Arabidopsis thaliana: one gene and its partner. Changing the gene in region 2 together with the main gene of any one other region gives a genetic interaction. Each region holds a gene or a part of one and is shown on either strand. Other genes may lie near its edges.

The links. A genetic interaction does not mean that the proteins touch.
Region 1: of PHS1 (region 2) and MO1, changing one enhances a phenotype caused by changing the other (phenotypic enhancement), as found in Arabidopsis thaliana (one study listed by BioGRID).

What each region holds. Positions count from the first base shown.
Region 1 is NC_003075.7:8,971,903-8,978,138, forward strand, and holds MO1 (monooxygenase 1), read right to left. Parts: upstream 2,789-6,236; 5' UTR 2,647-2,788; coding exon 2,501-2,646; intron 2,406-2,500; coding exon 2,259-2,405; intron 2,200-2,258; coding exon 2,107-2,199; intron 1,948-2,106; coding exon 1,782-1,947; intron 1,636-1,781; coding exon 883-1,635; 3' UTR 770-882; downstream 1-769. Other genes in the region: AT4G15765 (FAD/NAD(P)-binding oxidoreductase family protein), read right to left, coding at 3,881-4,131, 4,231-4,459, 4,713-4,911, 5,071-5,136, 5,239-5,309; AT4G15770 (RNA binding protein), read left to right, coding at 6,158-6,236.
Region 2 is NC_003076.8:7,994,854-8,004,695, reverse strand, and holds PHS1 (dual specificity protein phosphatase family protein), read right to left. Parts: upstream 6,500-9,842; 5' UTR 6,388-6,499; coding exon 6,346-6,387; exon of another isoform or gene 6,191-6,345; coding exon of another isoform or gene 6,176-6,190; coding exon 6,098-6,175; intron 6,008-6,097; coding exon 5,865-6,007; intron 5,730-5,864; coding exon 5,528-5,729; intron 5,456-5,527; coding exon 5,279-5,455; intron 5,175-5,278; coding exon 5,014-5,174; intron 4,532-5,013; coding exon 3,436-4,531; intron 3,291-3,435; coding exon 3,144-3,290; intron 3,027-3,143; coding exon 2,799-3,026; intron 2,700-2,798; coding exon 2,542-2,699; intron 2,460-2,541; coding exon 2,102-2,459; 3' UTR 1,848-2,101; downstream 1-1,847. Other genes in the region: AT5G23710 (DNA binding / DNA-directed RNA polymerase), read left to right, coding at 7,476-8,168; AT5G23700 (coiled-coil protein), read right to left, coding at 8,276-8,412, 8,490-8,619, 8,770-8,945, 9,041-9,101, 9,178-9,290, 9,363-9,479, 9,627-9,687, 9,768-9,842. UniProt on the Arabidopsis thaliana protein: Probable dual specificity phosphatase that binds and dephosphorylates MPK18, modulating the organization and dynamics of cortical microtubules.

The DNA of each region.
Region 1 (6,236 bases), on a different chromosome or scaffold from region 2:
TCATTTACAAATTAAAGGAGTACATAAAGAAAATTTGTTACAGCTATATAGTGAAATCAATAATGAGAATTAGTTAAATTTAGGGAGTCTTAAAACATAACACGTATCTTCGAGAATCGAGATATTGGTTCCTTGGCTCATTTTATCTCAATAAAATCGTAGTGTCTGTTCGCTTAAATTTACTGAAATATATATCATGTGTAAGTATTAATGTACTTCCAATTAAAATTTATCAGCAATGAGTTGAGATGCTAATATAGGCTCTTTCTCATTTTAGATGTAGGATTCCTAACTAGAATCTCTCAAAAACGAGGTCACCAAACGATTCAATTCCCCTTAGACTAAATTTACTGAAGCGGAGAGACCAAACCAAAATTCAACTTCACTAACATTTTTTTGGGTCATTGAGCGTAGGAGCTCCTAGAGATTCAATGAGTCCATGAGTCAATGAATGAATAGTCTTGATCACTAAAATGCACATCGTGATGATAGCACAATGTCGACCATAATAAATTGAAAAAAACATATACAAAAATGAAACACATAATAAATTACAAATATGTGACTGAGAGTAAAGTAAGAAAAAATTGTCTAATTTCGTTTCTTTAGTTTCGTTTTTGTTTTTTATTTAAACAACTAAGAGGTTTTGGGCCTAGGCACATATATTCGTTAAGACCAGGACCAAAGCATTTTAGTTACGTTTAGTTTTACAATTATTTGTTATCATAGCAATAGTTGATAAATCACATTTGCAATATAATGTATGGTCATGTAAACTCTTGTTATATTGAGAAAGGAGGATGTTATAAGAAAAAGAAACACACAAAAAAAGTTTAAAGCACACAACCTCACACTAAAAAATACAAAATGTCCATCAAATCTCTAGAGACGGCCACAGTCGTACCTAGTATGACGAATTTGATCACGACCAAACAAAAGTAACAACAAAGCTATAAACATTAGCCTCAGAACCTTTGATGACGTTTGTAGCGAACGTCCGGTCAAATAAGTCTGCACCGAAAGCCCGAGTAATCTCATCCTACGTTCATCCACATACTCATCAATAGCTTCTTCAATGTTTTTCATCGAACAATCCTTTAACAAGTCTCCGTGGTCCGGACCAACTTTCCTAGCTAGACACCTAGCTAAAACAACCGCATCCTCTAGCGCCGCTGAGCCGCCCTGTGCCAAGAACGGACCCATCACGTGCATCGCATCGCCGGCTACAGTCACTGTCCCACGACGAAATTTCCCTAACATGATTTCCGATGGCGCTCGGTACCTTAAGTGTGTGAGTGTTAATGACTCCACATTGCATATTTTTACCATTTCTTTCCAATCTTCAGACAAGTCATCGGCCCATTTTCGACACAGATTCGCAATCGATTCTTGATCTTTACCATTGTGATTATTGTCTTGCATATGTACTAGAAACCAAAAGACTTGATTATCCGTCAAAGGAAGCCTTCCTATTAAGACATTTCCTTGCTTTATCCTTAGAACCTCTTGTGGAAATCCATGGCCGTTTGGGTACTTAGTAAACCCTCTCACCGCACGACAAGCAAACGCCTTTTTCGGGTTTAACTGCAAATAATCACTGACGATAGAATTGGCACCATCGCATCCAATCAGGACCTATGAGAGAAGAAAAACATTATATTGCATAATTTATTTTATACTATTGAAAGCATACAAAAATAAATTCTTCAGTAAATGCAAAAGCCAAATGTAATATTTGCCTTTGAACAATTAATGTCTAAATAAACAATACTGATATTTACCTTGGCTTTGATGCTATTTCCATTGGCTAAGTGAACAACCGGAAACAACGTAGTTTTGTCCTGCTCAATAGAAACAATATGAGAACCGAACCGGATGGTTCCTTTCGGAAGGGCATCGGATAAGGCCTCAACAAGATCGTTCCTTTTAATACAACGAGCTTCGTCTCTGTTTTATTCAAAGTATTAAATATTCAAATCAATAACAAAGATTACAACAAATCAATAGAATAAACTGCATTAAAAACTAAATCAAAATACTCAAATTAACTCTATAGTTTTTATATTTATCATCTTCAATTTTAAGGATAGGAAAATTGTGACTTACACTATATTTGAAACGAATTCTCGTTTTTTTCCATTCTCAATCAACATGGTCCGTGCCCTGTTCATATCCAAGAAAGGTCCATAAATCAAAATTCTAAAACAAACATATAATGAATAATAAAGTTATGGTTAAAAAAGAATAATATTACTTACTTGTGAATAAGAGAAGAATTGAGACGAAGGCGATCACCAACGCCAAGCTGATCAAGGGCTCTCCAACCATTGGAGAGAGTTCCGATTCCAGCTCCTTCCGATCTCACTTTCTCTGCTCTCTCCAACACCACACTCTTTATTCCTTTCCTACATTTTAAAAAAAAAATATACACACCAAATATTAATTTACATATGGAATTCATAAAGTTTGAGTCTCATTACAAAATAAATTAATAACAAACCTATGAAGAGCAATGGAAGTGGCGAGACCAGCGATTCCGCCGCCGACGATAACTATTCCGATTTCCTCCATTTCAAAGCTGAGATTTTCAGATCTAAAGTTTTGTTTGGGTAGTTGTTTTAATATCTGTAGTCCTATAGGTAACATGTAGTATAGTGTTTTTAATTTATTTATATAGAGTAGAGGAACAGCGAAGACTTTTCATTAAGACAATTAAATTACTTGGGAGACAATCAATTTACGTGAGTGTGGTGGGTCTTTGCGAGTCAAACAAGCGCTCTTTGTTTATGAAGTAACTTGACCTGTTGACGCAAGCCTATGACGCCACTTACATTAACTCGGCTTTTGGATAAAACAACTAGTTCCATCCAATATCAATTTTGTGTACTTGTTGTAATGAGTGTGACTCAATACTTATCTTTTTGGCTTTTCCTAGTATATCAAAAATCTAAACTGACAAAAAAAAAATCGATCTTCTATACTATTAAACTTTTGATATATATAAGAATAAAGATGGGATCATCAAAAAAAACATCTTCGAATTGAGCCTTTGCAATTCTGGTTTTCTCTAGATAAGTTTTCTATCACCTCCATTGATTCAGCTTCTACATTTTGAGTGGGCTACTGGATAATTTGACATTTCTCTCTACATTTTCTTGGTTCTGTTTATGTTATAATGCAGACTTTAAGTCTTTTATCAACTAGGGTGGGGTTTTTGTAACACAAATGATATGGACTTCTCTTCCTTCATCAAAATATACGAAAAATGTATTTGAATAATTATTGATTATTTTTGGTCCAAAAAACTTGAATCCAGAATTATTAATTGGATTAAAATGTTTTTGAGAATATTTTTTTGCAGATGATACCGCCCATAATTTTCTTAAATAAGTTTTTGATTGGACTTCTTTTGTCTTTCACAACTCACAAGTGAGAAAGACTAATATCATAGTTCTTTTAATAATCGAACAAAAATTATCAGAAGCGAACAAACAGGAAACATTCGCAAGAACAATGAGTAACCAACCTCATGATACAATCATCTCACGAAGCACACAACTCTCGCAATTTAGACAGTTCGTACATAAGATAAATTTATAGACTGCCACAATCATATCGAGTATGACCAATTTGATCACGAAACAGAATCATCAACATAACTACAAGCAATAGCTTCCTAACCGGCGAAGAAGCTGCTATTAAACTACCGGTAAGATAAGTTTGTGTCGAAAGCCCCACGAGTCTACCTCTTCTTTCCCTAATGTACTCATCAATTGCTTCTTCTATTTGCATCCTTGAAGAGAAGGAAGATACATTAATTATACCGTCTTGACCTAAATTTAACTTCCTCCACAAGCATCTAGCCAAAACAACACCGTCCTCAAGCGCAGCCGAACATCCTTGTCCTAAGAATGGGCCCATTAGGTGCATACTGTCTCCGGCCAACTGTCACGGTGCCACGTCGGAATTTTCCAGACAGAACATCCCAAGGAGCACGGTACCTTAAACGGTTGATATACAAAGAGTCCATATCACAATTCTTCACCATCTCTTTCCACTCTTCTGAGAATTCGCGGACTGATGCTAGTGCCAATCTTGCGATATCCTCTTGATTTTTTAAGAAGTTTGAGTCTATTTATAAAACAAATTATAAATACGTTAGTGCGTTATATGAAAACAATAGAAGTCTATGTATAGTATGAAATGTAGCATGACCGGGTTATTAATTACCTTGGGGACAATTTCGCAAAACAACAAACCAAAAGACGAGTTTGTGAGTTATAGGAAGTCGTCCGCTTACGACGTTGTCCATCTTGATTCTTATAAACTCTTGTCGGAATCCATGGTCGTCCGGGTAATTTGTGAACCCTCTGATGGCCCGCGAACCGAGGTCTTTAGTCGGGTTTAATCCTAGAAATCTAGAGACTACAGAATTTGACCCATCGCAGCCAATCAAAACCTAAATTAAAAGAAAAGTATATTATCAAAATATATAAGACCCATGCATTTCATGCTAAACATGTTGCTTTCAGTGAAAAACAAACAAAACACAAACCATTAAAACCGATCACGACCCATAAATGTCACTGTCGGCTAATATAAAGTATATACTAAAAAAATTCCACTACGGCATCACCTCAATAATTGATCAATAAATATATCTACTGTTGTTAAAACGTGCCTTTGCTTTGATAGCTTCTCCCGTTTTTAACGTGCACAATCGGAAACGATTTTGTTTCGTCGAGCTTAACCGACAAAATATGGCAACCAAGCCGGAGAGTGCCAAGAGGAAGAGCATGAGCCAAAGCTCGAACCAAGTCGTTCCTTAGTACACCTCTTACTTCTCCATAGGATGCTGGTCCAACCGATTCTCTTCGTTTAATACCTTTCTCGATCAAAACATCTCTTATCCTGTTTTAGTACCATACCGGAAATCATTATAACTAGATAAGGTTAGTTAAAATATAAATATTTATATACTTACTGATGAATTGGGAGAGACTTAAGACGAAGCTAGCTTATCGGCGACACCAAGTTGTTGAAGAGCAAGCCAGCCGTTAGTCTGAATACCAAAATGCTGCTCCTTCCGATCTTACAGACTCTGATCTCTCCAACACAACGCTCTTTATGCCCTTCCTTTATAATCATATTTGTATGTTTAGTTAGTCAATAGTTCATGTATATGTTTTCTAATTTAAATTACCTTATAATTGAGAAAATGAGGAGATTATAGTGAACCTGTGAAGAGCAAGGGAAGTTGCAAGACCAGCAATGCCTCCTCCCACGATTACTATGTCCAATTCTTCCATTCTTCTATATTTGTATTTCCTCCAAATTTTATGATCGTTATGTCCTGCAATGTCGTGGACTTATATGTGGGGGTTGAAGCCACATGGCAATATGGCATGTCGTGGTTGTACCTTGACCCGCGTATTTTTCGTTATCTATACATATTCATTCACAGCGATTTTTATTGGTATTTGTCGATTCATATATCAATTAAACTGTGTATCACACAGATCGTTATATGAAACCAATTCTGAAGAGAGAAAAAAAAGAAAAGAAAAATTTAAGCCTTCTTGTGTTAGAATTACTAATTTTAATAATTTATTTAATATTTTTACTGTATTAGTGATTAAATGTATAATTTACTTAATCTTAGAAGTATATATATATATTTAAAACAATTATTTTCTTACACGTTATACAATATTTGTAATTAATTGTATTTATTTATATTAGAAATATATATACCTTTTTCTAAAATAATATATTTTTGTTTTGTCAATTGCCCTTATAATATTAGTAATTCATTGTATGATTTCCTTATAATATTTTTACACATGAAAAAATCTCTAACTAAACATCTTTTCAATAAACTACATGAACTATCAAATTTGTTATAACTTTCAGTTATCCTCCAAAGTCCAAATATTCAAAGTGAATTATTCATGGGTTGGATTTAACAAAAATAATAATTTCGAGGTTGAAATGACAATAGATATTTTTAAAACAAAGGACCAAAGTCGAAATAACAAAACTCATCGGCCGCATTAGGTTTGGTCCTAAATCCCTAAAACCCTAAAAAAACACAATCCCTCTTAGAAACAGAGAGCTTCTCTTCTTTCTCCATTATTCATCACTTTCTTCCCCGAAGATGCGTCCTTTAGACGAGACCGAGACAACCGTCGTCTTCGAGAAGCTCTTCAAATTCGTCGGCAACAACCTCAAGAAGA
Region 2 (9,842 bases):
TTTTACAATCGTAGTAGGCATTTAGGATTTGATTTGAATTACTTTGTTGTTGTTAGAAAATGTACAACTTTCGACGATGTGATTGAAAAAGACGTAGCATTTTCCTATCTGGTTACTTTCAATTGCTTGATTCACCAAAAAAAATATAAATAAATTATAGCCTTCATGGCTTCAATGCACTTATACAATCTTTTTATTTTACAGAATAGTCAATTTTCTTCTATATCAAATCAACTTTCAAAGCTAGAAAGAGACATATACGCTTAAAATTGCCATATCGTATAGACGAAATCGTTTGATACCAAATACTCCATATGTTCCTAAAAGTTTGATGCTCTAGCTTTTGTTTTTTGTTTCATAAAAATTGATTTTCTAGCATTTTTCTTTATTTTTATTGTCTTATAACACTAAGAAAAATGTTAAAATGATTAAACAATAATTGAGTTCTTAATAAGCGTCAAAATCCAAAACATCAAACTATTATGAATAGAGGGAGTACTAGTTTATCTTGATTTTGTCATTCGGATCAATAGTAGAAATGTTTGGACGGATTCAAAAATTTTCACTTAGATGATCATTTTATATCCGGGATAATAACCACTCACAAATAAGTGGTCAACATGTATAAATATGCCATAACCATTCTCGATAGTTGTCCAATTCCTAATGAAAATCCGAATCATGTAACTTATTTGATTCTCGATATTATATTATTTACGAATGTCGGGTCTAAGAAGCATTTCTATTATATTATTTACAGGTATCAAAAACAGATAACGGTTCTCTATAACCATATAACCAAGAAAAGATAAGCATAGATCACGGGGTTAAAATATCGATATTGATACTACGCGTCCGATAAAGAAGAGCCGGGGCAGATTTTGAGAGAGAGAGAGAGAGGAGAAAAAATCGGTGGTAGGTTTTAGTTTTATGAGAGAATTTTGTGGACAGCAAAGTAAGGACGAGTCATACGTGTGTTATGTACCACCTTTGGTCATTGTCCTCTTTTTCATGTCTCTTCGTTACTTCTCAGCCTCAAGTCTTTTATAACACTTGTGCTCCATGTTTGGACCCACACTGCTTCAAAGAATGGATTCGATTTCCATTTAATGCCATTTATTAATATTTCTCCAAACAACAAAATACGTGAACTACCTAACATATAAAATTTCACCAACTAAAGCGCAATCTTAACGTCCGTTACAAAAGTGGGCTTCTACACTTTTTGAAGAAACAAATTAACTTGTTATTCAAGAAATTGGTAAACAATAAACAAACAAAAATGTAGGAGAGAGGACATCGCTTAAGATATAATATCAGAAATTTTTTTGAAGGAGTTCATTACAAGTTCATTGGTGCTTCTGATGTGCAACTTTCCCATGAAAAAGAAGGCAGAGAATAAAGTGGAGATACAAAAGCAACTTAAAGGATGACTTAAAGGAGAGACTAGTCATTAACAAAGGAATGGATAAATTAATAAGTAGTTGGAAAAAAAGCTAACACCAAGTTGGTCCACAAAGACGATCCACCGTTATCAGATTTCCCACATAGATTTAACATCAAATTAGATTTGCATTTATGTTCCCCAATATTTCAATCAATTTTTACTTTGTCTGCTTTCCATAGCCATTCTTCATACATATACCACCTCATGATTCCTTCATCTTTCTCCGTCGTCTGGCACATCACGCACGTCTTGTACTCCATACAAGTCACAAATGAAAGTTAACAAGAGTTCACTTTCATCAATGTGCACGCCGGAAAGAATGTCAAATTTTTTTAGTTTATTATATCGAAAATGAAAGGGAACTTTTGTTTGATTACGCAATCAATTTTTTAGTTTTATGACATTTTTGGGCCAAATCTTACTTTCTTAACACAAAGCACAAGGGAAAAAGAGTTACAAATGTTACATTAGCTTATTATGACGTTTCCCAGTGACTTCTATTCAGCTTTTCGGCTTTTTATTTACTTGCGTATACAAGTACAAAGATCGTTACAGTAAAAAACAAAACAAAACAGATCAATGTTTTTGTTCAGAGATGTACGATTAGAGAGACTTTAACCGGGACAAACCATAGATAAAACCAAACCGGACTCTCTAACCAGGATGAGATTGGAAAGAATTGGAACTAGCACTTGAGCCACGGCCAGTGCTGAGTTTAAGAGCCTCCAAAGCCTTTTGAATCTCCATGTTCATTGCACTGTCAACACTTCCCGAAGACAGTTTCCTGTGAGATTTCTGGAGATGAAGCTTCAAAGAACTGCTGCTTAGACCTGCGTTCTTTCCACAAACCGGACACACTTTCATTGTCGGTTTCCTCTGTCTCCACTCCATTGATACTTTCCCGTGACATTTCTTGTCGAGGTTTATTAAGATCCGCGCAAATCCATCATTCGGTTGAGCTCGTCTATGAACTTTCCTCAGTTTGCTCCATGCTTCTAAAAGTGTGAGCTTCCTATTTATTGTTCCCACCAGTAAACAAATGAGAACAAGTATTGAAAATTTCCAACAAATTTTATTTGTCCCCAACAACTTACTTTTGGAGCATTAGGTAAGCAAGCACTACTGTTGCGCTTCTACTCCGACCTTCGAAGCAATGAACTAAAATCTTGCCACCAGTTTCTTCGCCATGCTTGATGAAATCGAGAGCTTCTTGAAAGATGCTCTCGATATTTGAGTCTTCATCATCGGTTATCTGGTCAAAGGGAAGACACAAGAAGAAAACGATCATCTTTATAGATGCATTTTTTTTTACCAATTCCTTTTAAGAGACATATAAGACAGGTTCACTTACTGAGAAGTTTTGGTACTCGAAGAGATCCGGGTATTGAGTATCCGATTGCCCGATTTCATTAGCGCACAAACATAGAACATGAGTTATACCTAAATGCTGAAGAGTGTAAATCGACCTTGCAGCCAATCCTCCCCCGATAAAAAGATTTTCTTGTATCATTGATGGTTTCTCTGTATTAGCAGCTTTGCTAATCAATGATATCCTCTCAAGAATATGCTCAAGTCTAACCTGTTATCAAGGAGAATGCAAACAAGAGAGACAATGTTTGAGTTCAGTTGCCAAAAACTATATTATATAATGAAGATCATATTCAGGATAAAAGGAAATAATAAAACTTCATGATACCTTTAGCTCATAAGCATCTGTGCAACTGTTATTATCACTGCCCTCAAAAAAACCAGTGTTGAAACCGTTCTCTTGGCAAAGTTTCATCACTTCATTCCGCAGTGTTTCATTCCACTGGTCTAGTTCTTTATTAGACTCAGCATCAACCTGGACGCACCATGAAAATATTGAGAGTGAAGAAAGAGAAAATGGCTGAGAACTTCCATCCAAGAAGACAAACTTTTTTTTTTATAAAAAATCTGAACCTACTTTACAAATTAGAACATAGTGATCAAAGCTCGAAGCGACAAACCTTTGCAAACTTATGGAAGTCACGGAGCTTTGCTGCCAAACGCTGACTGCTAAGAGATTCTCCACCTTTACCGGATCTTCCGTGCCAACTTTCACGTGACTTAGGCGAAGACCCGTCTTCTTTGTTTTCTGAATTTGGTGTCCTAGGAACTGATTTTTGCATATCTGACTCACTGTGATCAGAGCTGTTATCACTAGGCACCCGATCTTTTGAGGGAGATGGATAATGATTCACCTCATGCCCATGAGTATGTGAAGGTGACTCAGGAACAGCAAAGTCTTCTCTGTCAAAATCTGCACACATTGTTTTGTCCATCATACTAAAAAATGCCCGAAGCAACACATCTAATTTCTGATGAAGGGTGACAAGGAAGATGTGAAACTCTTGCAAATCCCTGAGACCAGCTCGGAAACCATTTCGAAACTCGCGTACAACTGGTGTTACTACAGATCGAACATTAGATGTTTCTTCACCATCTTCTGCCTGTGGATATCCTAAACTTCCTTCTGTTATTTCATGTAACAAATTCGAAGAATATTGGCTACTATTGAGGAGTAACTCAACTAATCTTGGATAAATTTCTTGGTCGCTTGCCCGTTTTCCAGCAGGAGGCCGCCGTGGAACACCCGAGTCTATGGCAACGAGGTGAAAATCGGCAGCTACTGATCTATCAGACATTGGACTCATTAAACCAGTATCATATGATCTAGGTGATTCCGTTATATCAGAAAAATCAGAAGCCTGTGAGACCAACATTTGATCACTGATACTCAACCTGGATCTGCTATCTACGGAAGAAGCTCTTCTTTCCCTTTGAATGGATCTATAGTCCTTTGGATGGTACCGTTTGATGGCGGAATCAAAAGCTTCATCAAATGAACATTCATGATGCTTTGCAGAAGACACAATTCTGTCTGTCAGTAACAGATTTGCCGGGTTGCCACGCCATCTCAGCTGACGACACGGTAATCTGTCTTCATTCCTAATTACTAGATCTAACACCAAGATTCTCCCTAGAGCTGCAGCAGCTCTCTCTGCTTTTTCTTCAGTTTCAAAACTACTCATGCTCTCCAGCATTGGACATCCATGAACATAACTGTAATCACATATAGAGAATCCTGGGCTAAGAAGAGGGGTTCTATACAAACATCACATTAAAAATTGTAAATTTGAAAGTGCCTACATGATCCTATTAGGTAAGACTAGATTTTACATAATCCTATTAGGTAAGACTAGATTTCTGTTCAGCTATTTCTCTCATATTTATTATCATTTAAAGCAAGATTAGATTTCTGTTTAACTGTTGTTATCAAATTTTATCCAATAAAATAATTCCACCTCATATTTGTAATTTAGATCTTTCTTATTTTATAATACAATTTTTATATCTAATAACATAACATCTTTTATTTTTCTTAAAATATATTATCAAATGGTATATTCATATTTCAAATGGTTTACTATCATCTAGTTAAACACTAATGCAAAGGAACAAAAAAACTGTCAACATTATGCTGCTGGTCCAAGTAAAAAATGGAGAAAAGTGATAAAGAATAAAGATGAATCTTGTGCTTTCACCTCATTAAGAGAAGACAACGGCTGAGCTCAAGGGCTTCCAGAAGTTCTGAACATGTCATTTCACCAACCTCGTCCCCCTCCGAAGTCGCTTTAGCTTGTGCTTTTTCAGTGGCTTCTTTGATCAGTGTCCACTCAGGATTACAGCTGTGAATTACTCTAGCCTGTCGCATGATGATTACTCATTACTTGAAAATTCTAGAAAGAAAGTGAAATGAGCAAAACCATTACTACATTTTTAAAAAACTACAAGAAAGAAAAGAAGCACCTGCGGAATCTGCACCCCTAGCCACTTGGAAAACTCATAACCTAGACGTTCTGATTGCGTGGCCATCCTCGATGATGCAAATTTAATAACTGCTGCTTCTTCCTTACGAGAGGCATCTTCAGAGCTGGAACTATTGAACAGGGCAAAGAAAACAACTCCTCCAGAATTCACAGTAACCTGTACAGACATCTAATAGTGTCAAAAGATCCTCCTAGCATCACCAGTCCAAGATCATAATGATATATATACCTCAAGTGGTTTACTCTGGTCTTCTTCAGAATGATCAGTGCTACTACTATGTTCAGTATGATGAAGTGAAGACAACATATTCCATGAAAAACAGCTCGAATCAATATCCACAGTAGAAGCTTTACCAAGCCTTTCCCACAAACTAATCTCTGAACTCTGCCTACTTGGTGGACTTTTAGGATCAGTATTCCTCTCTCCTGCACTGGATAATACTTGTATCAACTGACATGAAGACTAATATCCTAATTTAGAAACCTTTGTTCTGATATACTCATAAGATTCCAAAATCATAATCAACAAACCAAGTACTTGACAAAAAGTCAGAGAAAGTGTTAACCTAGTGACCATATCATCGATGCGGTGAAGGCGGTGAGGGAAGCCAGAGGATCCGTAAGTAGCACTTCGTTTACGAACTAAATCCAACCATTGAGTAAACCTATAAGCTGGACCAGATGCTATATCTCCTAACATGTACAAAACCTGCAAATTCCAAAAGTCTTCCAATTTTTAAGACGAGACTATTAATATAACCCTAAAACCTAAAACGAATTTAGGATCGGAGAAATTTACACGAGAAGTGACGGTGAGAGGAAGAGGAGACTCGTGCTCGTCGTGAACAAGGTATAGATCTTTCTCTTCGTCTTTTTCCTGCGATAGCACCATAATATCAGATCAGAGAAAAAGGGGAAAAAATCAAAATCAAAATCTGGCTCTGCGAAAAGAGGGAGAGATAAATGTGGGGGTAATGATGAACGCAAAAGGTGGGGGTGATAATGATAGATTATTAAATTTGTGGGGGAAAAATGAAGGATGATTACTTGAGAAAATGGTTGATCTCGCTTCTTCTCAGGTTCCGCCATTGCAAAAGCTTAGGTTCTGTTTAATTTTAGAAATGTCTTTTTCTTCAAATGTCAGCTTTGTATCTGAGAAGAGGAAAGTCTCAAGGTATCTTTAATTAATATGAACTTGTCGGACGAAGAAAGAAGACGGATATTTAATTTCATAAATTTATTATTGTAATAAAGACTCTGATCATTTTATTCTCATTATTCAAGATTTAAAAAAATAAACATATTATTATTTACAGAACTGTCTTCTAATTTTATTTTATTTCCGTTTTGTGTTATTATTTAAAACTATATTTTGTATGAAACTATTTCGGTCGAAATCAACAACATTTATACAAAAATGGTTTTAGATTTTAAAAAATATTCACTAAAGTTTATGGTTTAATCTGAAAAAGTTCAGTCTAATAAAATAAAATATTTATAGAATTTTTTTGTCAACTTATTTCTGAAAATTAATAAGCATAAATATTAGTAAAAAATCAAAAATATATACTTTCTTTGTTTTACAATATAAATTGTTTTGGACCAAATTTTTTGTTTTACAATATAAATTATTTTCAAAATTTTATGCAAATTATATATTATTTTAATACTTTATAATTATTTCTATTTTTAAAAAATAAATTGAATTTTTTAAAAATAAATATTTTTAATCTACATGTTTTTATCTAAACCAACTTGTATAGCGAAATCTCATATTGAATTAACAAAAATCCTGAACAATATGTACCAATCCACTTCGAGTTACCTTTTGTTGTGTATTAGTTTAGGCCCACACTAATATATTTGACTTTCTTCTCTGTCTTATATATTTAGCTAAAAGCAGACCTAGGGTTTTCGTATCCGTTCCAGTCACGGACGACTTCTCCGTTCTCTGAACTCTCCTAAAGCCTCTATATTCATCGGATTGTTCATCTCCAGTAAACCAATCTCCAGGTAAATTGAATCTGAATCTTCACCAAAATCCTTTGTAATCTCAGAATCATCGATTTTATCACCTTCTTATAGTATAGATCAATCCTTTTCGTAAATCACACGAATTCTCTCAATTACCGTGTCACAATTCCGATTGATTTTTGCAGTTTGGTGAATTTGTAAGAATGAGTAAACGAAAACGTCCGGATCCGAAATCATCGGGAGGTGATCTAAACGAGCCACACGAGAAGAAGCTTCTGGATCTGATTCGAATAAACCAAGGAAGAGGCGCAACTATGTTCGAATTGAAACGCGAGAAAACGATCCCAGCAACTATAGTTACTCGATTGATCGCTTCTCTACGGAAGAAGAATCTCATCAAAGAAGTAGCAAACATGAACAACAAAGGTGTCAAACATTATCTTGCAATGGAGTTTGAGCCTTGTAGTGAACTTACTGGTGGTGAATGGTACACTGATGGAGCTCTTGACCTGTCGAAAATCGAAGATTTGAAAGCCAAGTGTGTGATGATTTTGGAGAGGCATAGGCAGAGGGTTGTTACTTTGGAGGTTTTGTGTGGGTATTTTGTTAAAGAGGAGAAGCTGAGTGTTGATCAGACTAAGGAGATACTTAAGAACTTGATTTTGGATAATTTGATCATGGAGGTGAAGAGTAATGGAATGAATGAGTTTGCTTCTACGAGAATCGGAGAAGTTTGCTACAGGTTGACCGGGAAAAAGTTCGGTAATGGCGAACCGAGAGCTGGAGCTTTTGCTTCGATTCCTTGCGGGGTTTGTCCGCATATAGCGATCTGTTCACCTGATGGTGTTATCTCTCCCACTACATGTGTTTATTTTCAGAAATGGTTAGACTTTTAGCACTCTCTTTTTTTTTTTTTTTTTGGGTTTAAAACTTAAGATTTTAGATTATGATGATTTGTTTTTTCGGTTATACAATAGAGAATAATGCTATTGATATCTTTAAATTAAGAGTCAAGGTTGTGATTTGAAAGAGTAGATGTCGGAGAAGAAGATGGAAGAAGCTGATCTGTTTCTTTGCGACAAGCTTCCCATAATTGTTGCTCTACTCCTAGTTTCCTTAGCTCTAACAAACCTCGTTCCACTGTAAAGAGAACAAGTTAATGTGTTATTAAAACTAGAATTAGGACACAGGGGAAATCAATTGAAGAAGTTTATTACCGTCAACGGCATCTTGTGAAGTCGGAGATTTTCCTTCACTACGACTGGTCCAAAACTGGAAACGTTCATCTGCAATGTCTTCTTCCACACTATGCAACTTGGCTCTACCCCAGAAGTACATAAGCCATGCCTGCATTTATAACCAAATAACGTCGGTTCATCAAGATTCATCGCGATAAATTTAGTTACCAACCACAATATACCAATAATTACCATCTCTTGTAACAAAATGTCACATTATAACCTTATAGTTATGAAATTATAGGCATAAAGAAACTACCTGCTTAAAGGCAACATCTTCTTGTTCCCCTTCTTTTATCTCTGCATTTGAGAAATGTGATAACATAGTAAGGATTTCATCAAGTTTGACTGCTGATATGATATATTGTGCATGTTTGGACTCTCTTCTCTTACCGTATGATTCTACAAAACTGAGTTCTCCATGCCCTTTGGAATCTGTAAGATATGGAGAAAACAGACTATTGATCTCGATGACTAGTAAAAACAGACTATATTTGACACTGTACTAATTGATGATATAGCATACATACCTTGACGAACCAAACTCGGTGTTCTCTTCTGTGCGAATGCAAGCATAACAGCATCCTCAACCTAAATTTCGTTGTGATATGAGAACTTAATTATGTACTTGAAGATACCTTAAAGTAAAGAAACAATGGTATATTACCTTTAAGGATGCCAGCTCTCTCAAACCCATCTCAACTGAAAGCATACTTTCGATATTTCCTTCTCCAGGTAGATCACTTAAAAATCTAGCAGTTTTGCTCTGATCACTCCCACCTGATCAATTCCAAAGGCTGGTAAGTAAACAGTATCAAGGAAACCTTGGCCATAGCAAATATTAAGACTAGCCTTTGTCCCGAGATAACTCCTTGGTCTTTTGTGCTGCAGATATGACCAGCTCAAATGGAAGAGGAGCCAGAGCCGACCATTTTTCATGCCTGGATGGTGCTATGTCAGCACAAATGCCTACATAGGTAAGCCACAGGAAAACCAAATATCTAAGAATTTTAATAAATAAACTACCTCACCACAACTACAAGCCTTTGACCAAAATTAGAGAGCTGAGTAAGTGTATCAATGAGAACACGTTCACAAGATGGATGCATTACTTACCATGCTGCACTGCCAAACCCCAATACCGGGCAAGCCAGCATCTCTTCAAGGCTACTTCCTCCTAGATGATCAATTTTTTTTTCCATACAATCAGAAATCTTTAAACGTGAGTATAATGAGACTTGAGCTTTCTAAACATACCATTTCGTCCTGTGTTAAAACCATTCTTTGAGTCATTATACGAAGAGCCTTTGCTTCTGATTCCGCTTCTTGAAG